5 separate regions of the Mus musculus genome follow, and all the other regions are reported to be linked to region 5. The links are microRNA targets in miRTarBase. Many come from high-throughput screens and were not tested one by one. Region 5 holds a microRNA gene; each other region holds the end of a gene's coding sequence.

Region 1 (5,104 bases), not on the chromosome of region 5:
ACAAAAACCCTAAACCATGCATGGAGTAGACTTTACTCCTAGCTCCTTATCATCAAAGCTTAGTGGGCTGTCCAAGAAACAGTTCTGAGAGTCCAGGGACGCAGCTCAGGGGTAGAGTGCTTGTCACACAGAAAGCTCTGGATTGGTCCCCTTATCATGTACACGGGGCATGGTGACACACACCTATAATCCTAGCACTAGGTAGGTGGGGGCAAAAGGTCAGGTCAAGGTTTGTTAGATATCAAGTTCAAAGCCAGAATGGGTTACAAGAGACCATGACTCAGAAAAATAAAGTTTTACAAACATGCTTTAGGCTTGCTAACTGAGCAGGATGTGAGGTAACTTCCTAAAGTCTGAGAAATAGGGGACACGAGGCAAGGCTGTGGGGGTCAGGGCTGCCTCCTGGAGTTTAGCATACTAAACCTTGAATTCTTAGGCCTTGGGGAAACAACTTCTTCTTCTTCTTCTTCTTCTTCTTCTTCTTCTTCTTCTTCTTCTTCTTCTTCTTCTTCTTCTTCTTCTTCTTCTTCTTCTTCTTCTCCCTTTTTTGTTTTTTAAGATTTACTTATTTTATGAATGTGAGTACACTGTTGCTGTCTTCAGACACACCAGAAGAGGGCATCAGATCTCATTACAGATGGTTGTGACCCACCATGTGGTTGCTGGGATTTGAACTCAGGACCTCTGGAAGAAAAGTCAGTGCTCTTACCCACTGAGCCAACTCTCCAGCCTCCCAGCCTCCTCCTCCTTGTTTTTTTTTTGTTTTGTTTTGTTTTGTTTTGTTTTGTTTTTTTGAGACGTGGTTTCTCTGTGTAGCCCTGGCTGTCCAGAGACACTCTGTCACTCTGTCATTCTGTAGACCAGGCTGGCCTCGAACTCAGAAATCCGCCTGCCTCTGCCTCCCGAGTGCCTGGCATATTGCATCATCTTTATGTGCCCCCTTCTATTCAGAAGAAACAATTACACATTTTTCTAGAGATGAGCCACTGAGTGTTCCACAGGTTTAAGTTGGAAAGGTGAAGAATTCCCCAATACCCATGATGAAATGAGCAGAGTACCTAAACATATAGCCCCCTCTCTCCTTTCTTGCTGAGACAGAGTGTTACACCCAGCTCTGAGTAGACATCTTTCATGAAAAAGATACAGATAGCCAGCAAGAGCTGGACAAGGGGCTGGGCCAGGTGTTATGTGCCTTTAATCCCAGTTGGAGGCAAGGGCAGATCTGTGAGTCAAAGGCCAGCCTGGTTTACACAGTGAGTCCCAGGTCAGCAGCGGTACATGATGAGACTCTGCCTCAAAACAAGCACTAAAACCAACCAACCAACAAAAGAGCTGGGCAAGCCTGTACACATCTGTAATCCACCCTTCTGGATACACATCTGTAATCCACCCTTCTGGATACACATCTGTAATCCACCCTTCTGGATACACATCTGTAATCCACCCTTCTGGATACACATCTGTAATCCACCATTCTGGACACTGTCGGCAGACAAAAGTTGAAGGCTAAGGTGGGTTAAACACAAAGACGCAGGAATGTTAAATGACTTTGAGCATTATTAAGAGAAATGAGATGAAAAGTGCGATGGTACATTAATTATGTCACCTCTATTAGAACGGCTGTAATACAAAAGGCAAAAGATGAGCCGTGGAGAGGACCCAATGCTAAGAACACTGCTGCACACCCCTAACTCCATCCCTGGAAACCACAGAGAAATCCTGATGTGCTGGTGTGGATCTATGAACCAGCACTCCTACAGAGAGATGGGGAGCTGTGCTACAGAGACAGTTCATTGTTAGGAGCCTTTGTTGTGCCGGGCATGGTGGTGCATGCCATTAAGCCCAGCACTTGGGAGGGAGAGGCAGGCAGATTTCTAAAACCTTCCAAATCTTAAAAAAAAAAAAAATAAAAAATAAAAAAATAAAAAAAAGATAGAAGACAAAAGCAAAAGAATTTAGTGGTGTTGGTTTCATTGCCAACTGAATGAGTGACTAGCTGATCTGCACCTTATTCTCCTACACGGCACACTTGCATCTGTCCTCTGAGACTTCTCTCTCCACTCACCGGGAGAACACAGTTCAGCAGTTCAGCTCCGAGTGCCACCATAACACTGGCCATGAAACAGACAAGAGCTACAGGGTATCTGCCAATATAAACAAGTTTCCCGTGTAATGAATGACCTGGTCATAGGTCAAAATACTAGACCTCAAATGGCTCCCAGGTAAGTGTTCCATACAGTGTGTGTAATATACCCATACTGCAAACACCTACAGCTAACCACTGCTAACACAGGGTTACTATGTCCAATTTACTGGGGGGATCTCAGAACATCTCACCTCCACATATGCCACACCCAGGGGTGCTCCCTCACCCCCAGTTGGCCCATGCTTACTTCCTTTGGTTTGCTATCCTTTCCACTTTTCTCTCTATTCAGGGCTCCAATATCAAAACTCATCACAGGCTGGTGAGACAGCTCAGCAGGTAAAAGCGCTTCCCACAAAAACCTGGAGACCTGAGTTTGATTCCCAGAACCCACATAGAGGAGAAAGGAGAGAGCCAAGTCCACAAAGCTGTCTTCTGACCTACATTTGTGCATGGTAGCAAGTGTGCACGTGTGTGTGCTTCCCCCACCCCACATAAATAATAAATAAAAATTAAAAAGAAAACCAAGGTTGGGCATGGTGGCATACACAATTTTTTTTTTAAGGATTTATTTATTATATGTAAGTACACTGTAGCTGTCCTCAGACACACCAGAAGAGGGCATCAGATATTATTACGGATGGTTGTGAGCCACCATGTGGTTGCTAGGATTTGAACTGAGGACCTCTGGAAGAGCAGTCAGTGCTCTTAACCACTGAGCCATCTCTCCAGCCCCGATGGCACACACCTTTAATCCCAGCACTCAGAAGGTAGAAGCAGGTGGAACTCCAAGAATTTAAGGCCAGCCTGCTCTACATAGTGAGATCCTGTCTCAAAACCAGAACGCTATCACCATACAAACAACAGCAAAACCAGCTCACCTCTACTGGGTTTCACTGGGCTTTGTAGGGCCAAAGCATTCTGCACTTGCCTGTCATTGCTTTCTGGTCCTGCTTTGCAGGGATGTCACCTTTGCAATCTTGCCACATAGGATATCATGATAAAAGGAACTGTGGTAAAATGAATAAATGGATGAAAAGTGTAGTGAATGAATGATTATTCCAGAGCTCATTGCCCTGTCCTGTCCTGCCCTGCCCTGCTGCTGGCCACTACACCACACAGTCTGATGCTGAAGTGGTAAGAACTGCAAAGGTCTGAGTCGCCCTGAGACCTTTCTTCAAGTTTTCTTCTTGTAAGCACGGTCCGTGTATGAAGGGTTCTTCCTGATAGAAAGACTTCACCCTTCTCTCATGTAAGCCATGCTTTGAGGAGGCGGGGGGGGGGGGGGGAAACTCAGTAGGCATAGCACTAGCTCAGTATGCTCAAAGCCCTGGGTTAAGTTTAATACAGAGGGCTGGTGAGATGGCTCAGTGGGTAAGAGCACCCAGCTGCTCTTCCAAAGGTCCGGAGTTCAAATCCCAGCAACCACATGGTGGCTCACAACCATCTGTAACAAGATCTGACGCCCTCTTCTGGAGTGTCTGAAGACAGCTACAGTGTACTTACATATAATAAATAAATAAATCTTAAAAAAAAAAGTTTAATACAGAGTATCACATAAACCCCCATAATCCTGGCCCTAGAGGGGAAGGCAAGCAGACGTGCAAAATCATCTTCAGTCATAGGGCAAGTTCAAGGTCAACCCAGGCTATACAAGATTACATTCCAGAAAGAAAGAAAGGAAGGAAGGAAGGAAGGAAGGAAGAAAGGTCCTCCACATCCTGACTTTGTGGCTAAAAACTTTATTTCCTGAAGCAGAATTGGTTTTGACACAAAAATTCAAGGAATGGGGCCACTGTTAGGAAGTCTGTCCATGCTGTGCGATGGTGGTGCACACCTTTAATCCCAGCACTTGGGAGGCAGAGGCAGGCGGGTTTCTGAGTTCAAGGCCAGCCTGGTCTACAAAGTGAGTTCCAGGAAAGCCAGGGCTACACAGAGAAACCCTGTCTCAAAGAAAAAAAAAAAACAAAAAACAAAAAAAGGAAGTCGGTCCACCTTTCTAGGTTCTACCCTATTTAGACTAACTCTCCACAAAGCTCTAGAAGTTTCTCCAGGGCCTAGAAGCTACACAGCCCAGCTTTCCACTCTTGAGGCCCCATCCGTAGAAACTCTAGGCCTGAACAACTTTTACTCTGACCTTAGACTTTGTGTTCCAACTTCCTTCCCTTCTACACCCTCCACATACTATTTCCACAGGAAAGAGCCAGTCTGTCTCTGGAGAGGCGTTTCCATGGGAAACAGGAGAGGGAGACTAATAGGCAGCTATGCCTCCTCACAGACAGCAGAGCTGCTCCACCTCCACCTCACAGTCATAGAATTTCTCAAAGAGTTCTGGAGAGGCACTGTTGCATTCAAGCCACCTCCTCAGGGTGCACAGTGCCTGCAGGGCATCGGCTTTGGTGGGCAGGGGCTCAAAGCCATCTTCTTCCCTCCCACTGTCTTCAGTACCCGTCTCCTCTTTGCACACTCTAGGCCCTGGGTCCTCATCCTCCAGGTCCACAAAGTGAGAAAACTCCTCTTGGCTCAGCCCACTAGGGACTGGTGACATCTCAGTGTCTTTGTCCAGGGACAGTGGTGTTTTGCCCGGAGCGAGCCCTTCTTGAACAAAGCTGCTCAAAATGAGCTGGCGAGGTACCTTGGCCCAAGCTGCGGCCACCATGTGCAGAGCATCCAAAACTGTGATGCTAGCCCTGGCCTCCGCCAGGGAGGTGCCCTCTTTCCCACTCTGCATGGCAGCCAGTTTGCTCAGTAGACGGTGACGGTAATGGGCCTTAAAGGCCAAAATCACAGAGCCAGGCAGGGAAGGAGTGGTGCTGGAGGCAGAGAGAGGCAGGAGTCGAACGTGATGGAGTCCAGGAAGGCTGGCCCATTCCTCTACCACTCCAGAAGCCAGTAGCAAGGCTACCTGTCGGCCCTGCTGTCCCATGTCCTGGTCAAACTGTGCCAGCCACTCTGACCAGG
Region 2 (5,104 bases), not on the chromosome of region 5:
AATAGCAGGACCTCCGTACTCATTAGACGTGGGTCAGTTCTCTATTGTAGTGTGTGTGTGTGTGTGTGTGTGTGTGTGTGTGTGTGTGCAGTAGCTGATGGGGCAGGTGAGTTTCTGTGGGCTGCAGATTCCACATCTGTGAAACGACAGCGTACTACCCCTGCGGTGGGAAGCTGTGAGGACAAATGAGAAAATGGACACAAGGGCCTGGGGCAATAGCCATCACCACACACGCCCTACTAAGTGGTGACTGTTACAGTCAGTAAGAAGACATAACAAACTGGGTTAGACAAGCGGCGCAGACAATGTTTACTTGGTAGAGTCACACTCTCAAATTATTTCATCGTAAATTTGGAGAGAACACTAAGTGTAGATTTTGTGGCTTTTGGTGGGTATTAAAAAAAAGAAAGTTTTAAAGCATGTCTAATTGTCTTGTTTCTCTTTTAACCTAGGATTCTTTTGAAGGCTCTCTTTATTACTTCTGTCCTCTACAGTGAAGTTTCTCTTCAGTGGGACAAGTGTTATTTCTCTTCTCAGTGAAGCTTGGACCTGCAGCTGCTTGCTGCATTTTGACTTGTGAAAGCCAACTCATACCCTGACCCGACTGATACCTCTAACCCCCTCACTGGATGTCTCTGAAGCTGTGCGTCTGTGGAAGTGCTGTGCTCCGTGTTTGTTTTTAATGTCAGAAGCCACTAGTGCCTGCCCCAGCTTACACAGTGCAGCAGGTAGGCAGGGCCAGCCACACCTACTCAGTGTGCTTAGGTCGGTTGGTTTCTTCAAACAGGATATTTTGTGTTAATTGTTAGTAATATTTTTAAAAGTACTGTAGGTCTTAGTGGAGTATTATTATTTCCAACTGGTATTTGAGGCTTTCCTCTGTGTCAGTAACTGCTTGTTTTAGAAGCCATTATTTTGATAATTAAGCGAATTACAAGTTAAATGCTTTTGACCCCTTTTTATTTTAAGCTTGAGTAATCTCTTTATCTTTGTGTTCAAAGAACTTACAGCTTTCCTAGACAATCTATTATTTCTTGTGTCTAATATAGAGGACTTGACCTGGCAATGAGAAAGAGGTCAGTACAGTGTATTTAACACATCTCAGTTATTAAGCTGCACCCCATACCCCTGTCTTCCCCTTATGATGTGAGATGGCTGTGTGGTTGTTACCTTGGTGATGTGAGATGGCTGTGTGGTTGTTACCTTGGTGATGTGAGATGGCTGTGTGGTTGTTACCTTGGTGATGTGAGATGGCTGTGTGTTTGTTACCTTGGTGATGTGAGATGGCTGTGTGGTTGTTACCTTGGTGATGTGAGATGGCTGTGTGGTTGTTACCTTTGTGATGTGAGATGGCTGTGTGGTTGTTACCTTGCTTCTTTCATTATCATCCTCTCACCTAGAACATGGCTGGTGCCACTGATACACTCTGTGCCTGGTTACTGTCACTTTGGAAATGTCATGATCTGCTACTTAGAGGAGCTTGCTGCAGTGTGCATGTGGTGAAAACAGAAGCAGGCCGAGGGGCTGGTTGGCTTGGGTAGGATGCTGTCACTCATTCCTAGGGATCAAATGTGCTGCTCACCTGTCTCCTGAGAGCAGGTTGGCATCAGGAAAGGCACGAGTGGCAGTCTCTGCAGGGTCCCCAGAGGGAGCAGTTGTTATGTGTCCCCGTAGTCTAGAACAGTTGCTTCCTGCCCATCTCCTTGTCTGGATGGGTACAGGAAGTGGTGGAGCGTGGAGAGCCACTGTCTCCTGAGCCGCAGGTGGCAGTTGCGGATGCTGAGGTATGGGCCTGGCTCTGTGGAACTAACTGTGAAACCATGCTCACCCTACTGTGGGGAACCAGATACCCAGCAAAATACGGTTCCACACTGATGATAGACAGTTGAACTTGTGTTATTGTTGAGATGAAGGCTGATGTTGTCTATCTGTCGGCCCTCTCTTCCATCCTACACTGTTTCATTGCTGTAACAGCAGTGCTGAAGGAAATGTGATGTTTTCCCTTCTAGCTGGATAGTTTGGGAGCATGGAGGTGTGTGATCTATAGTGGATTTTAAGTTCCATTCTCTAAAGCAGTTTTAGGTCATCCTTAAGGATCTTTATTAGCAAATTCATTTGTCTAGGTTTCTGACTCTTTCTGGTGATGTTGTTACTAAGAAAAAGGTTCTTTTCTTTTTGAAATATATTTCTTATGCCAGGTATATAGTGAGGTCAAACAGAAACCTCCTTTGTGTTAGCAAATCAGAGATGTTCTCCTCAGCATGGAGCCTGCTTTCAGTGTACCCCACCATGCTGGAATGTAGCACTATGCAGGGATGCAAGCCAAGCAGTGCCTTGATGCAGCCAGGAGTTACACACTCTGTGAGCAAGAAAGAGAGAGCGCGGGACTGAGGAGCCTAGTGTGGGTAGAGGGAAGCGATGCCCAGGGATGGTCTGGGTGAGAGAGAGGTGCCCCATGCGCTTGCTCTCTGTGGCTGGCCTCTTGGGCAGTGAGTTACCACGTGCATTTGGGAATGTGGATTTCATTTATTTATTGGATAGTCATTACTTGCTGTAAGGGTATTTTAGGTCATTTTTTCTTGTAGAAGCTGTGATCCAGTGCAGAATAGACTTGAGGAAAAGCATAACCTTTTGAGTCTTGTAACATGTGGCTTTGTAACCTGTGGTATCTTCTTGGAAACGCAGACAGAAGCTCCATCGTCGTCACAGAAGGTTGCTGCCGTCCTTCTGACAAGGCGTACAGTTGCTGTTTTGAGCCAGTATTTAACTAATGTTTTTAACTAATGTTTGTTTGAGACAGGGTTTCTCTGTGGTCCTGGCTGTCCTGGAACTCACTCTGTAGACCAGGCTGGCCTCGAACTCAGAGTTTTCCTGCCTCTGCCTCCCCAGGGCTGGGATTAAAGGCGTGAGTGTAGTCACTGCCTAGCTGACCTGTGTCTTAAGGGTTTTTATTATATTTATTTTCCATGTTGGCGTAGTCTTTGTGACAGAACCTTTCTTTTCTTTCTGGGTTAATCGTCATAGGCTTTGATGTTGTGTCAAAGTGTCATCTGGTGGTTATTGTTGCCAACTATGAAGAGACAGATCCTATCTGATCTGTATCTGCACTAGGTAAATGAATAGAGGCTGTGGGCCCTTTCTCTGACGTTCCACAGAAGTGGATTTTCTCACTGAGACCAGTGATCAGGTTTGAACCCGCCCCCGCCCTGTCCCCCCATTCCCCATGTCACATGCACTGTGTAGGGCACAGGTGGGAGACAGTATTGGTTAGAACCAAGTGCTGGAACATTCTAGAAGCACAGCTGATGGGGCCTGAGGGAACCCACAGTGGTCCCTCCACACAGCATGTGCTATACTCTGAAGGTCCTCCCAGAGTCAGTCAGGAGTGATGAGGAAACACCCTGGGGGATGAGGCAGCACAGGATGCTGACTGGCAGGTTGTGTGCTGAGGTCTCTTTTCTGTGACATCCTTTCCTCTGGAGACAGCATCATCCCTGCTCTCCTACACTCTAAAGTCTTCAGACTGAAGTGAGGGTCCAGATCTAAACCAGCAGGACTGTCCCAGAGTTTGCAGAGAATCTGGCTTCCTAAGATGAAGGTTTTGAGTGACCTTAGTCCTGGTAGCCTGATGTCAGACTCCCTGTCAAAAAGCTGGCTTTACTAGGCAGCCAGTGCTGAAAGCTGTGTGGAGGTAGGGCAGTGAGGAGATGGAGGATAAATAATAACCTGAGTGCTTTGTCACCATGGAAACTGGAGTTCCTGAGGCCACAGCCCATGCTGAAGAGCTTTTGAGCATGCCCCTGACATGCTTGGTCCAGAGGCTATAGAGAAGGAGTGCTCTCACCCAAGGCCTTTCAGCAAGGCGTGCCTGTGCACGCTCTGTGTGCTCGCTCGCTCATTTGCTTGCTCACTCGACCCCCAAAAGGTTTCTTAGGAGAAGGTTGTACCTATTTGTTATTTTTTATTATTTTGCATATATATATGTAATTGTAAAGAAACAATCATATATATTGTCTTTTATATTCATGTAATATTCTGAATTAAATTTTTTCTGTTTCATATCTGTGGGTTCTGACTGGTCTCTTGGCTCACGTTGCTTTGAAGAGAGGTAGCTTCCTGTCCTAAGGAACTTGATACTCTACAAAGGGCTCGTCCTGGGTTTTCTAATGGAGGGAGGGGATGTGGGTGGGTTCAGGATGAGTGAGGCTTTGGCTGATGGAAATTTACTTAGATGAGGTAGCACACATCTCTAATCCTAGTACGTGGGAGGCAGAATACTAGGGACGAGTTGAGGCCAGCCTAGACATAAACAAGATTCTTTCAAAACAAAACAAGGCCGAGGCTGGGCATGGTAGCATAACATCTTTAATCTTAGCACTTGGGAAGCAGAGGCAGTGGATCTATGTGAGTTCAAGGCCAGCCTGCTCTATACATATGGAGTTCCAGGGAGGCTAGGGCTGTTTAGAGAGATCTTGTCTCAAAAACCAAAACAACCACAACTAAAACAACAGCTTTGAGCCCCAGGGTAGGTGGCCCCACTCCTTGAGGAGTGCAGGTTGTCTAAGTTGCTGACTTGCTCTGAGTTATTCCATATTGAGTGGAAGTAGCTCTTGGGCTATGTGCCCCCAACAGGCTCTGTTTTACAAAGGACACCCAACTCCCTTTTAGGTTGTTTTTATGCTTTGTGGCTTGATATTAAGGAACAATGAATTCAGTCAAACCAAATCTGTGGGCAGAAGAGAAAGAAAGGAAGCCATCATAGGCCAGAGGAGTGTGCTGAAAGAGCTAGTGAGTGACGAGTCCAGGGCCAGTGTGCTGAAAGAGCTAGTGCAGAGGAACTTGGAAGACTTCAGGTATCCACATGGGCACAGCTGGGGCACTCTGGACACATCTGTCCTCGAGACAGTTGACGTTATCACATTTTATGATCAGAATCTATGGCAGTGGCTCAGAGGGGGCAGAAATAGCCTGAGATAAAAGTGTAATATGAAATAGGTGTGCATTGTTTATTGACAAGAATACATTCTAAGAGCTGGGTGGTGGGGAGGCAGAGGCTGACTAATCTTTGTGAGTTCGAGGCCAGTCTGGTGTACAGAGGTAGTTC
Region 3 (5,104 bases), not on the chromosome of region 5:
GGCTCATGGGGTTTACAGTGTACTGTCTGTGGGGCCACCTTTTTCAGGCCTAATGCCAAACGAAGATACAAAAATCAGAAGTTTGGTTTTGGTGGAAAGAAGAAAGGCTCCAAATGGAACACGAAAGAGAGCTACGACGATGTCTCCAGCTTCCGAGCCAAGGTGGCTCACGGCAAGGGCTCCAGGAGGCCTGGGAAGAAAGGGGCAAATGTAAGTGAGGGGTCCAAGTTGGGGCCTGATTAGTATCTTCTCAACCCCCTTTCTACTCCCCTTGACTCCTCACCCTGGCACAGAAGGCCAAGTGCTGTGTGTGACAACATATGGTTTTTGTTTTGTTTGTGCAGAAGAGACCCGGAAAACGAGCAAGACAGAAACTGAAGAGTAAAGCCCGCTGAGTAGCATCATCTTCTATAAAGAACCCAGGAGAAGGGGGGTGTACAGCACACTCAGTGTTTGTCCTGCTTTTTGTAGAAAATTATTTTAATAAATTAAACTTATGGAAGAAAGATACTCTTGGGTTAAAACCAGATACTTTTTAAAAGATGGAGAAGTTTGCACATTAAAGAGTATTGCTGCTGTTGGGCTGTTGTGGTGCACACCTGTAATCCCAGCACTTGGGAGGCAGAGGCAGGAGATCTCTGTTGAGTTCAAGGCCAGCTTGGTCTACAGAGGGAGTTTGGGACAGCCAGGGCCACAGAGAGATGCCCTTTCTTGGAAAAAACAAACCCAAAATCCAAACCAAAAGAATCTTAGTGTTTGTTGGCCATGCCTCTCTTTTGGTAGCTGCAGGGCGGGCCTCCACCTTACCGTTTCTTCGTCTCCCAGATGCCCTTTTACATTAGTCCCCCGGGAGGACTGGCTGTGGCAGGTTCCTGTGAGAGCCCGGGTCTGCCATAAACTGTTACATGGTCTCTGTTTTAGGCCATCTAGATTGGTCCCTTACTTCCTGTGCCTGGTATTTTCCTTTCTTATTTTATGCCTTTTGTTGTGTTCCATTTTTAAGATCTTTTAAAGAAAGGAAACAGGAAAAATTTCCACCTCCTATTCTGAAAGCGACTTTAATTTGACTGGTATGAATTGTGGCTTAAGATGCGAGGGCTACAGGCAGGGTCCTGCTGCCTCCCTTGGCCATGAGGACCGTGGGGCTTCTCATTCCCGTCCTTCCCTCCTAAGCTTTTCTGACAGTGGAAGCCTATGTATGGTGCTCTGCTTTCTGGGCTGGTATTTATTCTTTGATTAGGCTATTTAGAAAGATTCAGGTTTTAAAAAATATATTGTTTTTCAAGACAGGGTTTCTTGGTTTAGCCCTGGCTGTCCTGGAACTCACTTTGTAGACCGGGTGTCCTCAAACACAACAGACATTGCCTGCCCCTGCCTCTGCCTCCGGAGTGTTGGGATTAAAGCTGTGTGCCACTTTATGTGACAGATTCAGGCTTTTATCTGCCTAGTAACCCCTCTCTGCCATTTTATCATCTCAGGAACTTGTGCTTTCCCACAGTTACAGTGTCCTGATGTTTCCTGGATGGGAATGGTAAGTTTTGAGAATATTTTCTTCTGTTCCCTTCATCCTGTTTGAACTGTTTTCTTCCTTGGACATTTGGCTCCAAATTACATTTTGTTTTGAGACATTCTCAAACTGTAGCCCAAGCTGGCCTCAAACTGCTCCCCCTCCCTCTGCCTCCTAGTGCTGGGATTGTAGGCTTGCTGGCATCCCCATTCAGATGCAGCACTTTAGTGTTAATGGCTATAGTGTATATGTGTACAGTGTTGATGGTGATCAGTCAAGGTAATGGGCGTTTGTATCTCGTTCTCACTGCCGGTGCCCAGAGCTTCCTGCTTCTAAAAGGGCAGATGGCTGTGTATTAGGCAGACCTGCCTCTGTGCTGTAGACACTCAGTTTTTATGGCTCTCTCTACCCTGTCTCCCTTTCTCACGTTAAACACTGCCCACTTCACAATTAAGGTATAACCCTATATTCTATATCCTTAAGCAGTCCCTCATTTGGGATTTATTCTGCTGGGGTTTTGTAGTAATATACCTGTGATGGTTTGCATATTCTTGGCCCTGGGAGTGGCACTATTAGGTGTGGCCTTGTTGGAGGAAGTGTGTCACTGGGGGTGGGCAATGAGACCCTCCTCCTAACCAGATGGGAGCCAGTCTTCTAGCAGCCTTCAGATGAAGATGTAGAACTCTCAGCGGTGCAATGCTTGCCTGGACTCTCATGCTCCACCTTGATGATAAAGGACTGAATCTCTGAACCTGTCATCCAGCCCCAATGAAATAAATGTTGTGCTTATAAGAGGTTGGTCATGATGTCTGTTCACAGCAATGCAAACCCTAAAACACTACTTTGTTGCTCTATCAAAATACCTGAGTTGAAGTACTTCATAAAGAAGGGTTATTTACCTCAGCTTTGGTCAGTTTAGGTCCAGAATGGTAGTGCCTTCAGACGAGAGCAGCGGTGGCATGATGATGGTAGGTCTTACAGCAAGCAGAGGTTGTGGGGCCAGCCTTGTTTAACTTGCTTTTGTAGGAACAAAATTTGTGACACAGGTACCAACTCCACCAATGTCAATGCTCCTGGGACCTAATACCTGCCCCTAGGACTCATCTCTTAAAGGACCCCCTCATCTCATCACTTAAAGGATTGTGTACCTTCAGCATGTGAGCCCCTGGGGGGCAGATGGGGTCTGGATACAGGGGCAGCTTTCCGTAATGTCTGCTGAGCCTTGCTGGTTGGGTTGGAGATGCTGAGGTGCTTATGAGAGACTGCAGGTGTGCTGTGTGGCCCCTCTGGGTCCTGCTGCTAAATGGGGTAGTAACCAGCTTGTCTCTGCTCTCCTCTTTGCTCCTGAAATCATGCTTTGTTTTTAAGAAAGTTGAAAATAAGAACCACATGTATTACTAAGAAGATTTTCATGTTTTCTTATGGCATGCGGGTGCACACATGAGACAGTTGTGGTTTTATATGCTAGTGAATTTCTAGAAGCAAATAGTTTTGATCTCATTTCGGCTAAGTTCTGGTGGCACTGTTGTGTTTTCAGAAGACCTGATATTAACAGTTGACAGCACTCTGGGGTGTAGTGTAACCTCATCAGCCCAGTGGGAGCTGCAGAAGTAGAAGCTTTGAGTTCTGTGTGGAACATATTGAGATTAGGAAAACAGCTTGCCATGCTGAGTTATGAATACCACACCCTTTTATACAAGACTTAGAAGTGTCTTTCGCCCGTTTTCCTGGAGCAAAGGCATACGAGCAGAATCCATTGTTTCTTTTGTAGGACTTCTATCATGTCGTCTTATTATTCCGTCCCTGAAAATGAATTGACCAGTATGCACAAGTAGTATCTGTATTGCTTGAGGTAAAAATGTTGTCTTACTTTGAAAGTGAGGTTGTTCTTAAGGCTGCGTGCATGGACTTTTCAGAGTCCATGCATGGCTGTCATTGTGCCTGTCACTCATTTTTAAAAAACTCATGGATAGCACAGTGTAGTTCTCTTGCCTTCTTGTCCCCAGGCATAAACCCACATATAATTTAAGTCATTATGAGAAGTGACTGGCAAATACAAATGTGTGCACAGAAATGAAATGCTAGGACAAGCAAGCAGTGGTGTTACTATGGAAATAGCTGACATTGGGGTGTCATTACTAGATGTTCTAGACACGGGACATACACTCATACTCGGTAAAGGAAAACTTAGTCACGTGAACACAGGGATGTTCCCAAAGAAGTGACATTAGCAACAGACTTCAATGAAACCTTCAGAGACTTCATGACGTGGAAAACACAAATGGTTAAGATGTTGGGTGAGAATCTAGACATGGGCTATAGAAAGGCAACTTGCCGTGGCAGAGGAAAGAAACGGGCCAGTTAGATGACTCAGTGGTTAAAGGTGCTTGCTGCCAAACCTAATGTCTTTTGAGTTCAATCCCAGGGATCCACATGGTGGAAGGGCAGAACTTACTCTTCCAAGTTGACCTCTAACTTTCACATTTATGGGCACACAGGTGCACAATACAAAGTGTAATGTTGAAAAAACGATGCTTCATGGTAGAGCACCTACTTACTGCATACTAGGTCCTGGGTTCCGTCCAAACACAAAAAAGCTTACTCAATGTCACAGTGATGTGGTAAGACAGGTGAACATTGGAATCATAGTGTGCTGTTTTACATTACAGCCTACTAAGTGCACACTGATTTTACAAATTTTCTTCTGCATTGTCAACCATTAATGACAGCTATACTTTGGATGATTTGGGGAAAGATGAAAACAGAAATATGTTGACTCTTTGAAAAGGAACCGTCCTGTGGGAACACAACGATCACTTTCAGAGTTAACCTTAGTGGGCTGGAGAGAGTTCAGCAGTTAATAGCTCTGGCTGCTCTTCCAGAGGATTCCCAGCACCCACATGGCGAAGAGCTTTATTTCCAGGGATCTGATGCTTGCTTTTGGCCTCTGCAGGTACCAGGCGTACTCATGGTGCACATTTATACATGCAGTCAGAATACACATAATTTATTTTTTATATCATAAAGATTCACTTCTGCGCCTCAACTCTACTTCTTAGGCACTCAAGTGATTGGAATGCCTTCCAAAGTGATCACTGACTGAATGCCCAATGGGATCTTCTGGTGTTCTCAGTATAAGATATTAAGTGGAAGTCATTGGGTCTGAAATGCATGTGTGTGAACTGACAACCAAATCAGATGATACCGGGCCACCCAGTGCCACTGTCCAGGCTGCTGTTGACAGTGTTCATATGGTGTTGCTCTGGATGGCGGGGACTTTGGTGAGACCAGGAGGGTAAAGGCTTCCTTGGGCCAACAGAAATGAAGACACAGAAAACAAGGAGAGTGGATGCTTGGGTTTTGTATCTGCTGACATTTCCAAGCCTCTCCCTTCACAACCTGGGAGTGGTGCACAACATTTCCTGTGTGATTCAGGCAACAGAAGTATGGCTCTATGTAGCCACTCTAAAGACCGCAAGGCGCCCCATGCTGGCTCTCATTGTGTATATCAGTCCACCATTGTTCACATAGAGGCTTCTGTGAACAGAATAGAACTGATCTTTAATCAGACCTAATGTGTACGTGAGTCTATGTCCT
Region 4 (5,104 bases), not on the chromosome of region 5:
CAGAGGAGCCACAGCCACGAAGATGAGGATGGCATTGTCTCCAGTGAGTATCACCGTCACGTCCCCAGGCATGCCCACCATGGCCACGGAGAGGAAGATGATGACGATGATGGAGGAGAGGAGGAGGAGAGGGTGGATGTGATGGAGGACTCTGATGATAATGAACACCAGGTCCATGGTCACCAGAGCCACTCAAAGGAGAGAGATGAACTCCATCATGCCCACAGCCACAGGCACCAAGGCCACAGTGATGATGACGATGACGATGGTGTCTCTACTGAGCATGGACACCAAGCTCACAGATATCAGGATCATGAGGAGGAAGACGATGGGGACTCAGATGAAGACAGTCACACCCACAGAGTTCAAGGCCGAGAAGATGAAAATGATGATGAAGACGGTGACTCTGGTGAATACAGACACCATACCCAGGACCACCAAGGCCACAACGAAGAGCAAGATGACGATGATGATGATGATGATGATGATGAAGATAAAGAAGACTCCACTGAGCACCGGCACCAGACCCAAGGCCACAGGAAGGAAGAAGATGAGGATGAGTCAGATGAAGATGATCATCATGTCTCCAGGCATGGACGCCAAGGCTATGAAGAAGAAGAAGATGATGATGATGATGATGGAGATGATGACTCTACTGAGCATGTGCATCAAGCCCACAGACACAGAGACCATGAGCACAAAGATGATGAGGATGACTCAGAAGAAGACTACCATCATGTCCCCAGCCATGGCCGCCAAAGCCACCAAAATGAGGAAGAGGAAGATGAGGCTGTATCCACTGAACACTGGCACCAGTCTCCTAGACATGCTCACCATGATCTTGGACGTGAGAGTGAAGAAGAGGTAGCAGTCAAGTACAGCCACCATGTTGCAAGCCACCGTCCCCAAGGCCACAATGCTGACAGGGAGGAGGACTCTCTAGAAGAACACATGAATGAAGTCCCAGGCCATCACCACCACAGAGCCTCCAGGGGTGATGATGAGGACATTTCTACTGAGTTTGGCCACAAGGCCCCCAGCCACAGGCTACAAGATCAAGATGAAAGGGCGAGGCAGGGTCACAGAGAGCCTGTTCAGGGAGAGATTGCTCATCAGCCCCTGCAACCCACAGGACCCAGTTCAAGAGAATCAAGGAAGGAAGGTGACCACAGCTCTCAAGAGGGAGATGAAGACCCAGAGCAGAGGCAAGCCCATAGTGAGGAGGAGAAGGAGGAGGAGGAGGAGGAGGAGGAGGAGGAGGAGGAGGAGAAAGAGGGGGGCCATAGCCTCCCCATGAGCCAGGAAGATGATGAAGAGGAAGAAAAAGATGAGAAAGAAAGCAAGGTAGACAGGGCTGCAGTTTCAGCTCCACTGAGCCATCATAGGAAGCAGGGGGAGGAAGAGGAGGAGGAAGAGGAGGAGGAAGAGGAGGAGATCCTGGAGGAAAACCTACTACCTTTCACCATTATCCCAAACCCACTCGCTGGGAGAGAGGTGGCCAGAGAAGGTTCCAGTGAAGAGGAGAGCCGTGAGGTCACAGGTAAGTGACCTGGCTCCACGGGTGAGGCTGGGGGAGGGAGGCAGAGCTGGCCAGCTCGAGTCACTGTTGCCCTCCTGTCCCCACAGGTCAGCAGGATGCCCAGGAGTACGAAAATTACCAGCCAGGGTCTTTGTGTGGCTACTGTTCTTTCTGCAACGTAGGTCCCTAGCCCAGAGCTGCTCAGCACACCCTGGGGTGCCATGGGGGCCTGAGAGCCTGGGAGTGGGAGGAGCAAAGCTGGGGGTGGGGCCACTGGGGAAATAAGGTTAAGGTCTCCAGGTGAGGGTCACAGGGTGGCAGGCAGGTGTCTGTGTGAGCACTCACAGGTCCCAAACTCCAGTGAACGGGTCACATGGGCTTGGGGTTGTCTTGGGATGGGAAACCAGGGTGGGTGGTGTCCCCAGAGAAGAGGGGGACTCTGAGTTCAGACATGGAGGTCAACAGCTGAAGTGATTTTCTCCCGAGGGGTTTGGGGCTAGGGGTCCCTCTAACCAGGCGCTTCCTATTCCCAGCGATGTACCGAATGTGAAAGCTGTCACTGTGATGAGGAGAACATGGGGGAACACTGTGACCAGTGTCAGGTGAGACCTTCCCAGAGCCCCTAAGCTCAGGTCCCAAGCTGGCAGGGACCACCGGAGTGCCCAAGGCATAATCCTGTCCTTACATCACTTCATGCCTCCTTCCCGTGTGACCCTCCACCTGGCCTTAGACCCTGGGTGGTCCTTCCTCGTCTTTGTCCCTGACTCAGTCCCTTGACCAGGCTCTCTCCCTGTCCTCAGCACTGTCAATTCTGCTACCTCTGTCCGCTGGTGTGTGACACGCTCTGCACTCCAGGTGAGCAGCAAACAGGGAGAGGCATCCACCCACAGAGGGGGCGGGGCTAGCATAGTGAGGCACCCACCCACAGAGGGGGCGGGCCCAGCAAAATGAGGCACCCACCCACAAAGGGGACTGCGCCCAACAAAGTGAATCCTAGTGGGGTTGGAGCCAAGCCGAGATGTGAACCGAGACTGTGGTCTGAGGTTAAATGGGTGGGATAGGAGGTGTGGCCATGACAAAGGTCATGTGGGCAGAATCTGATCTCTCAGGCTAAGATTGAGGTGATGTTGATGGGCAGCCCTAGAAGTGAGTGGGTGGGACCAAAGTAAATAGACTCTGAGGGGCGGAGCTGCTGGAGGGTCCAAAGCAAGAAGGGCTGGGATTGAATTTGAGGCTGGAATTAGAAGGGGGCTGGGCACCACATTTCCGCACTGCCCTGACTGTTTGCCCATCCTGGAGGTCCCTCAAACCTTTTCTCTCTCTGCTCCCTCACAGGAAGCTACGTTGACTATTTCTCCTCCTCTCTGTATCAGTAAGTGTGTGGGGGCTGGGCCGGGAGATGATGCCGTTCAAGGGACCCGTTTAGAGAAGGGTTGACCCACTGTGAGTTAAAGAGACAGCCTGGACTCCATGGTCAGGCTCAGTGGCTGCACGTTGACTAACTAACCTTCCTGCTCTCCTGTCCAGAGCCCTGGCTGACATGTTGGAGACTCCAGAGCCCTGACCTGGCCGCCTGGCAAGAGCTGCATCTATTTCTTTGAATAAATGTGCTCCTAGAAACAGCAGTGTCCCGAGTGGGGTGTGTCCTGGGGAGACAGAGGGCAGGGTGAGGCAACGGCCTCTCTTAGAGAGCCAAAACAGGACAGCTTCGACCCCTAGATCTGGAGGTGGTTGGTTTGGGTTCTTAACATCTTAAGAACAAAAGCTAGGACTGGTGGCACACACCTTTAATCTCAGTGCAGAGTCAGAGGCAGGCGGATCTCTGTAAATTCGAGGCTAGCCTAGTCTACATTGAGTTCCAGGCCAGCCAGGACTACAAAGTGAGACCCTGTCTCAAAAAAAGGCTGGTCACCACCAGAGCTTTTGAAACAGTAGGTCTTTACCCGTGATCACTGAGTAACGCCTGGAGCCAAGAGGCCGAGTCGGGGTGGGGGCTCCCCCATTGTCCGTCCTCTCCCCAGCCACATCGCCAGCGGCATAGTTGACAGAGGGATTTTCCCATGCAAACCCCGGAGCCAGAGGGGAAATGGGAACGCAGTGCTGCGTCCCTGACCCTTGGGCACAGACACCGCCATAGCACGGGGGCGGGGAGGCCCCGGGGAACACGAGACAGGGGGGAGGGTCAGGGAACCCCGCTTGCAGATGACCCGGAGGACTGGCGACAAGACGCAGCGGGGCAGGACTGAGTGGCACGGGGCTGGGGAATGGGGCGAGGCTTGTAGCAGCGAGTCTCCCCTCCCCTCCTAGCGGACGGAGAAGGAAGACTTGGGCCCCGCGACTGGGCAATAGAAAGGGGAGGGGTGGCATCTCCCCGCATGCGGCCCGAGAGGGAAGCCCCGCCCCCTTTCCGCAGGTGCAGGGCGCCTGACTCCCATTCGAAACGGATCATCAATAAATTACAAAGTTGAGAAAAGGGAGACGGAAGTTTGGGGTGGGATTTCTTCCTGTCCTCTTCTTCGGCTGCCCCCTTTCAGTCCATTTCTTATGGTTTGGTCCAGGCCCAGTCCATTTGGGAGGCGGGAACACGCACACCCGGCTGGTATGTATAGGTGGTGCAGTCCGTAGGGCGAGCTCCCTCACGGCGGTCTCCTGCTAGACAATGCTCTGGAAAGGAGGGAAAACGGCCCAGCCTTCGGAGGGGTCTTCATAGGAGTGAGAATGAGGTCACTTTCATTGAGGTCAGACAGTTCACAGAGTGGGAACCATCTGGCACGCCATCCCGCGTTCCCGTTGTACCACCCTGAACCCCCCAAAATCACCTAGCAGAGTACTCACCTGGAGGTGCACACTAGCAGGAGTAAGTCCGGACCGAAACACCATCTGCTCGCGAACTCCCAGAAGTCTGGCCTGGAGAGAGTAACAGCGCTTTAACCTGGAACTACCCTAGTCTCCCCCAAGAAATCCCCCAATACTGGAGATTGGCCACGGAATTGCTAGTCAAAAGCCCTCCACTGAGCCACACACCCACAGTTTCTCATTGTGGGATTCTAGGCGGTTCCTTCACCAGTGAGCTACATGTCCAGCCTTCTTTTTACTTTTGGAAGCAATCTCACTAAGCAGCCCTGACTGTCTTGAACTCTCCTGTAGCCCAGGCAGGTAGGCTAGACCAGATAGATGGAAGGTGAACAAGATCTGGACTGTTACTTTTAAGAGTCCCTTACCTTCAGGCTGCAGTTTGCGGAGAGGAAGCCCGGGAGAGCCTAGGGCTCCTGCGGCAGCTGAGCGAAAGTTGGGGGGTAACATCTCGGCTGAATCGGGGGTTACACCCCGGAGGTCCTTCTCGCGGAACATCTTCCTCCAGGATGGGGAGCGGCTGAAGGACTTGGCACTGTCCTAGATGTACAAGAGGAGCCAAGGTGAGGGAGGCGGGCACAAGTTCCCATTAATCGTGACCCTCGCTAAATTCAGCATCCAATCACAATTGGTTGGCAATGCCAAGCCCCACCCCTTCAGCGCTGATCTGTAAGTGCAACTTGGGAAACTAGACCTCATTGCCACGCCCACCTCATCCAGCCGTCTGTCTGT
Region 5 (5,104 bases):
GGCGGGAACTTGGGTAATGGAAGGCTTTCCAGTCCAATGGTATTTGTGTAGAGGGGAGTGATCTCCACAGGGTGTCCTGCAGAAGCCAAGGCAATCCCTTCATATTTTCTTCAGTGACAGGAATGCTTATTCCCTTGCAAGCGACATGAATAAATTTTATTTTTACATTTATTTGTTGATTGCAGTGATGGGGGTTGAACCTAGGACTTCCCTATTACTAGGCAAGCACTGACCACTGAGCCACACCTCAGCTGTAGCAAACTTGATGTTAAAACTCTGAGCCGAGCGTGGTGGCGCACGCCTTTAGTCCCAGCACTTGGGAGGCAGAGGCAGGCAGATTTCTGAGTTCGAGGCCAGCCTGGTCTACAGAGTGAGTTCCAGGACAGCCAGGGCTACACAGAGAAATCCTGTCTCGAAAAACAAAAACAAACAAAACTCTGACATCTATATTACTTTTTTTTTTTTTTTACTATACTTGATATAGAAAGATTGGTACATTCCACTCTCATTTTGAAAGCTCTCTAGCATATTTAAAGAGTATATAACATACATATGTACTGGTCCTCAAGAAATCCTTTCCATCTATTTATTTGTTTGTATGTTCACTCGTTTGTTTGTTTGTTTATAGACAGGTTTTCATGTATCCCAGGCTGGTCGGGAACTCTCTAGGTAGCTGACAATGTCCTCGAACTTCTGCTTCTCTTGCTTCTACCTCCTAGGAGTCAGGGCTCCAAACCTGCCTTACCATGCCTACATCTTTTTTTTAGTGTAAAACTAGAAATTAAGTCCAGGACCTTCCTGCCTGGGAGGCAAACACTTTGACTGAGTGAGCTAAATACACTGTTTTTAATTATGTGTCTATGTGTTTATGTATAGATGTATGCACAAAAGGTTTTGTGCACACACCTATACATGAACACATAGGTTTGTGTATAAGTGTGTATAGGTGTATAACACCTATATACACACAAGGTTTCCATGGACATGGCCATCAAGAGCCTCCCAACAAAGGTGCAGGGAACTGACTCCGATGATTTGCAAGAACATTTCAATCACAACCACTGAGCTACCTCTCCAGCCCAAAACCTTTTTTTTTTTTTTTTTTAATTAAAACATTTACTATTGTCTTTTATATGTGTGTGTGCCCTCCCCTGGCACTGAAGTTATAGAAGTTGTAAACCACCATGTGGGTGCTGGGAATCTATCTCTAGAACTGCACCCCATGACAACTAGCTGCTGAGCCTTTCTCTAGCCACCTCTCTCATCTTGTTTTTAGTAAAATCCTAAAGAGATGTGTAATCTCAGATACAATGTTCACCATTCCCAGAGTGGTTTTGCGTTTTAACTTTTTTAAATCGTGGATTTTTTCCCCCTTTTCTTCTTACTCTATAGCTCAGGCCCAGGATGGTGTGGGAATTTACTGTGTAACCCAGACGCTGACCCTGCCTCCTGCCTGAGCCTGCTAAGTGCTGGGGTTACAGGCGTGTATCACCCACCACCTAGTTCTCTGAGGAGGTGGAATCCAAGCTCTGGGCTCTGGGAAGGGCTCTACACACTGTGCTGCACACCACTGGACTGGAAAGCCAGTGTGTACTCTGGACCCCTGAACTGTCTTCCTTCATCTACAAGCTACTGCTTACTTCTATTGTTTGATATAAACCCCAGACATCACATCACTTCTGGATCAGCAGTTATGATTAATGTTCTAGCTTGTCTGATCTGTAGCTCTGAACTTACTCACAAAAGGGCTGGGTCTGCAGGGCAGTGGTGGCGCATGCCTTTAATCTCAGCACTTGGGAGGCAGAGGCAGGTCTGGTCACCCCAGAATTATACACCCCATTGTCTTTTGCTGTTTTCTGCTTCTAAGGCTAAATGTTTCTCCAGAGAGAACAATTACTTTTCATCTCTAGTTGGCACTTTAATGCTTTTAGTTCTAATAACCCATTATTTAGGTTAATAAAGAGATAAAAAATTGCTCCAGCAGGCTTACTCTTTTTTTTTTTTTTTTTTTTGGTTTTCCGAGACAGGGTTTCTCTGTGTAGCCCTGGCTGTCCTGGAACTCACTCTGCAGACCAGGCTGGCCTCGAACTCAGAAATCTGCCTGCCTCTGCCTCCCGAGTGCTGGGATTAAAGGCATGTGCCAACACCGCCCGGCAGGCTTACTCTTCAATGTGCGTTTCTATTCTTTCTGCTGGCACCCGACACACTATGTGCTCAGTTTGTTCTGTGTTGTTTGATTGATGAAATACACTCGAATCTTCACACATTTTTTTTTCCTCCTGTGGTTGGAATTGGATAGTTATTGTAACCAAAGGCTCCACAAAAAGCAATTTAAGGGAAGAAAATTTTATTTTGTCTCATGATTCAAGTGACCATGGGCAAAAAGACAAAAACCTTTATATTTTTTCCTTCCTTCCTTCCTTCCTTCCTTCCTTTTTCTGTAAAACACACACACAGAGATATGGGAGGTGTCCTTCAGGCATGTGGAGGTCAGGGGACAGCTTTTAGGAGTCTGTTTTCTCTCTGCACCTTTTTTGGGGGATGGAGTCTCTTCTGTTGCTTCTCACTGAGTAGTGCTCTGGCCTAGGTGGTCCGCAAGCTCTGCTGATTCTCCGTCTCCACTCTCCATCTCTTTCTGAGAGCACTGGGTTACCGTGGCACACCCTTGTACTCGAGTGGGTGCTGGGGATCAAACTGAGCTCAGTCAGGCTTGTGCACCCAATCAAGGCCAGTGCTTTAGACTGTCCTGCCGTCTGTCCATCTCAAGAGGGCATCTTCATTAAATGGCAAGAAATTAACATTGTGCTCATGAATAGAAACAAGTTTTTAGCTTGACATTTTAAATTTCTACAAATAATGCAGGCTTGACTGTGTCGTGTGTATAAGCCTTGTGTGTGGTGTTCAATACTGTGTAGCTACTACAGCTTCCCCTCAGAATGTAGACTGTTCTCTCTCTCTTTTCTTTTTTCTTCTTCTTTTTTACTTTTTCTTTTTTTTTTTTTTTTTACTTTTTACCTTCTTGAGACAGGGTTTCTCTGTGTGTTCCTGGCTGCCCTAGAACTCATTCTGTTGAGCAGGCTGGCCTCGAACTCACAGAGATCTGCCTGCCTCTACCTCCCAAGTGCTGGGATTAAAGGCGAGCGCCACCACAGCCCGGCTGCCTGGCAGATTTATTTATTTATTTATTTATTTATAACCTTGATCTCATGTTTAAGGTGATGTGTCCCAAACTCTCCACTGTGGGCATTATGTTTTCCTTTATGGTTGATAAATCTATCAAATGTATCAAAATAGGTGAATGTCCTGTCTTTGAAGCCTTCAATCTCAGCCTCCTCACTCCATCATTCCTTCTCCATTGCTTTGCTGTGTCCTATGGTAGGGAGAGCTGCCCCTCCAGTTGTCTGTGCTGCTCTGTCTACTTACAGGACATTTGGAGTCCTGGTTTATTTAGTGCATTAATAGCCTCTTATTATTATTATCATCATCACCACCACTATTGTAAAAATTCTTGGATTTACCCAGAGGAAGTTCCTCAAACTGTTTTTTTATTAATTTATTCTTTGACAATTTGATATATACACAGTGCATTCTGATTATTCTCCCTGTCTTCTCATCTTCCCCTCCAGTCCCTCTGACATGTTCATGTCTCTCTCTCTCTCTTTTTTAATATTACATGTTTTGCCTGAATGTACTCATGTGCCCCATGTGTGCCTGCTACCTGCAGAGGCCAGAAAAGGGCATTGGATGCTTGGAATTGCAGTTTGGATGGTTGTGAGCCCCATGTGGGTTCTCTACAAGAATAACAGGTGCTCTTAACCTCTGCACAACCCTCGAGCCCCTTCATGCCTTCTTGTTTTGCACCCCTTGAGTCTAACCACAGTGGTTCACGTGCCACTGGGTATAGAAGCATTCGCTGAAGTTGGTAGACTCACCCAGTGAACACACAATTGAAGGCAGTGACTGTCCCTGCCCCAGCAGCAGCCAGCACCAATAGTCCCCAAACCGGTTTCCTTGTCCTCTTGTACCATTCTTGGAAGATTTTCTTACCGTCTGGGACAGTGGCGTGTCTCAGGTGCATGCTACACTTCCCCTGCTCCAGTCCCCAAGCCCTGGACTGATCATTTTTCCAGCAAGTGCTGGCTATTCTTGTAGAAAAGAGAATCACTTATAGACATCAACATGAGCTCCAGTCTAGTGCACTGCTACTGAACCATGATTGCTTACTTCTGGGTTTCTCAGCAGAACTAAACACACACACACACACACACACACACACACACACACACACACACACCTTCATATGTTGGAAATCATGAATTCAAGCAGGGTACAATGGTTAACAGCTATATATTTATACTTCTGATACTTAGGAGATAGGCATGGGAATTTGGAATTTGAGGCCACTCTGGGCTACCTAGGTAAGAGTATATGTGAAAACAAGAGTATGTGTGTGATGGGGTGTAGTGGAGGAAAGGAGGGGCCCACATTATTTTGTGCTTCCAATTTCAGCAAACACAGCACTGCCTTCCATTCCCCGCCTCTCATATCTGCGCCCTCTTTTCTAACCACAAGCAACCTGCTTTCCATTACCTCAGGGTAATGAGTACTTAGTCCCATTACCTCAGGGTAATGAGTACTTAGTCCTAGATAGCAAGCTAGAACAGCCCTACCTGCCACTGGTAACTAACTCCTGTTTGCTTCCTCCCTTTGGTCTGGGGGTTTAAAGACAAAACATCCCTACTTCAAGTAATTCTGCCTTCCACACTCTTCAACTGACTGGCGCTCTCTTGAAATACATCTAGGTGATTTTCTGTTTGTTTGTTTGTTTTAAAGATTTATTTATTTTATGTATGTGAGTACAGGGTTGCTGTCTTCAGACACACCAGAAGAGGGCATCAGATTCCATGACAGATGGTTGTGAGCCACCATGTGGGTGCTGGGAATTGAACGAGGGACCTCTGGAAGAGCAGCCAGTGCTCTTAACCACTGAGCCATCTCTCCAGCCCCCATCTGAGTGTTTTTCATTGTGTCCCACACTGTGCCTCTCATTCTTCTGACTCTACAATTTTTTTTCTTGCACTTGTACATTTAGCAGAAATCCGTA

What was found. Region 5 holds the annotated microRNA mmu-miR-1195 (UGAGUUCGAGGCCAGCCUGCUCA, at 3,071-3,093, opposite strand). A microRNA usually pairs through its seed, bases 2 to 8, with sites in the 3' UTR of a target mRNA and lowers its output. Matches are read on the target gene's strand: a 7mer-m8 pairs with bases 2 to 8, a 7mer-A1 pairs with bases 2 to 7 and ends in A, and an 8mer does both.
Region 1: miRTarBase lists Tigd3 as a target of mmu-miR-1195. Seed matches in the 3' UTR shown: 7mer-A1 at 4,051-4,057 and 7mer-A1 at 4,022-4,028.
Region 2: the mRNA of Arhgap19 is a reported target of mmu-miR-1195. Seed matches in the 3' UTR shown: 7mer-A1 at 2,828-2,834 and 8mer at 2,856-2,863.
Region 3: miRTarBase lists Ebna1bp2 as a target of mmu-miR-1195. Seed matches in the 3' UTR shown: 7mer-A1 at 1,320-1,326.
Region 4: miRTarBase lists Ppfia3 as a target of mmu-miR-1195. Seed matches in the 3' UTR shown: 7mer-A1 at 3,372-3,378.

Annotation. Positions count from the first base shown.
Region 1 is chr19:5,887,273-5,892,376 of GRCm38, forward strand. It overlaps Tigd3 (tigger transposable element derived 3), which reads right to left. Exons shown (of 2, transcript NM_001362045.1): 2 at 3,866-5,104. The coding sequence ends at 4,416. Among named protein-coding and RNA genes, the nearest start is that of Tigd3, 4.3 kb to the right of the region's middle.
Region 2 is chr19:41,765,545-41,770,648 of GRCm38, reverse strand. Arhgap19 (Rho GTPase activating protein 19) reads left to right here. Exons shown (of 12, transcript NM_027667.3): 12 at 453-4,061. The coding sequence ends at 463. Among named protein-coding and RNA genes, the nearest start is that of Gm19424, 21 kb to the right of the region's middle.
Region 3 is chr4:118,625,476-118,630,579 of GRCm38, forward strand. Ebna1bp2 (EBNA1 binding protein 2) reads left to right here. Exons shown (of 9, transcript NM_026932.4): 8 at 48-210; 9 at 345-2,301. The coding sequence ends at 395. It overlaps D4Ertd617e (DNA segment, Chr 4, ERATO Doi 617, expressed), which reads left to right and starts at 929. Exons shown (of 3, transcript NR_029469.1): 1 at 929-1,531.
Region 4 is chr7:45,335,835-45,340,938 of GRCm38, forward strand. Ppfia3 (protein tyrosine phosphatase, receptor type, f polypeptide (PTPRF), interacting protein (liprin), alpha 3) reads right to left here. Exons shown (of 30, transcript NM_029741.2): 27 at 5,084-5,104; 28 at 4,741-4,912; 29 at 4,355-4,426; 30 at 3,292-4,183. The coding sequence ends at 4,368. It overlaps Hrc (histidine rich calcium binding protein), which reads left to right. Exons shown (of 6, transcript NM_010473.2): 1 at 1-1,540; 2 at 1,627-1,697; 3 at 2,053-2,121; 4 at 2,320-2,374; 5 at 2,855-2,891; 6 at 3,047-3,139. The coding sequence ends at 3,083. Among named protein-coding and RNA genes, the nearest start is that of Hrc, 3.1 kb to the left of the region's middle.
Region 5 is chr17:70,857,488-70,862,591 of GRCm38, forward strand. It overlaps Mir1195 (microRNA 1195), which reads right to left and starts at 3,113; the gene lies at 3,016-3,113.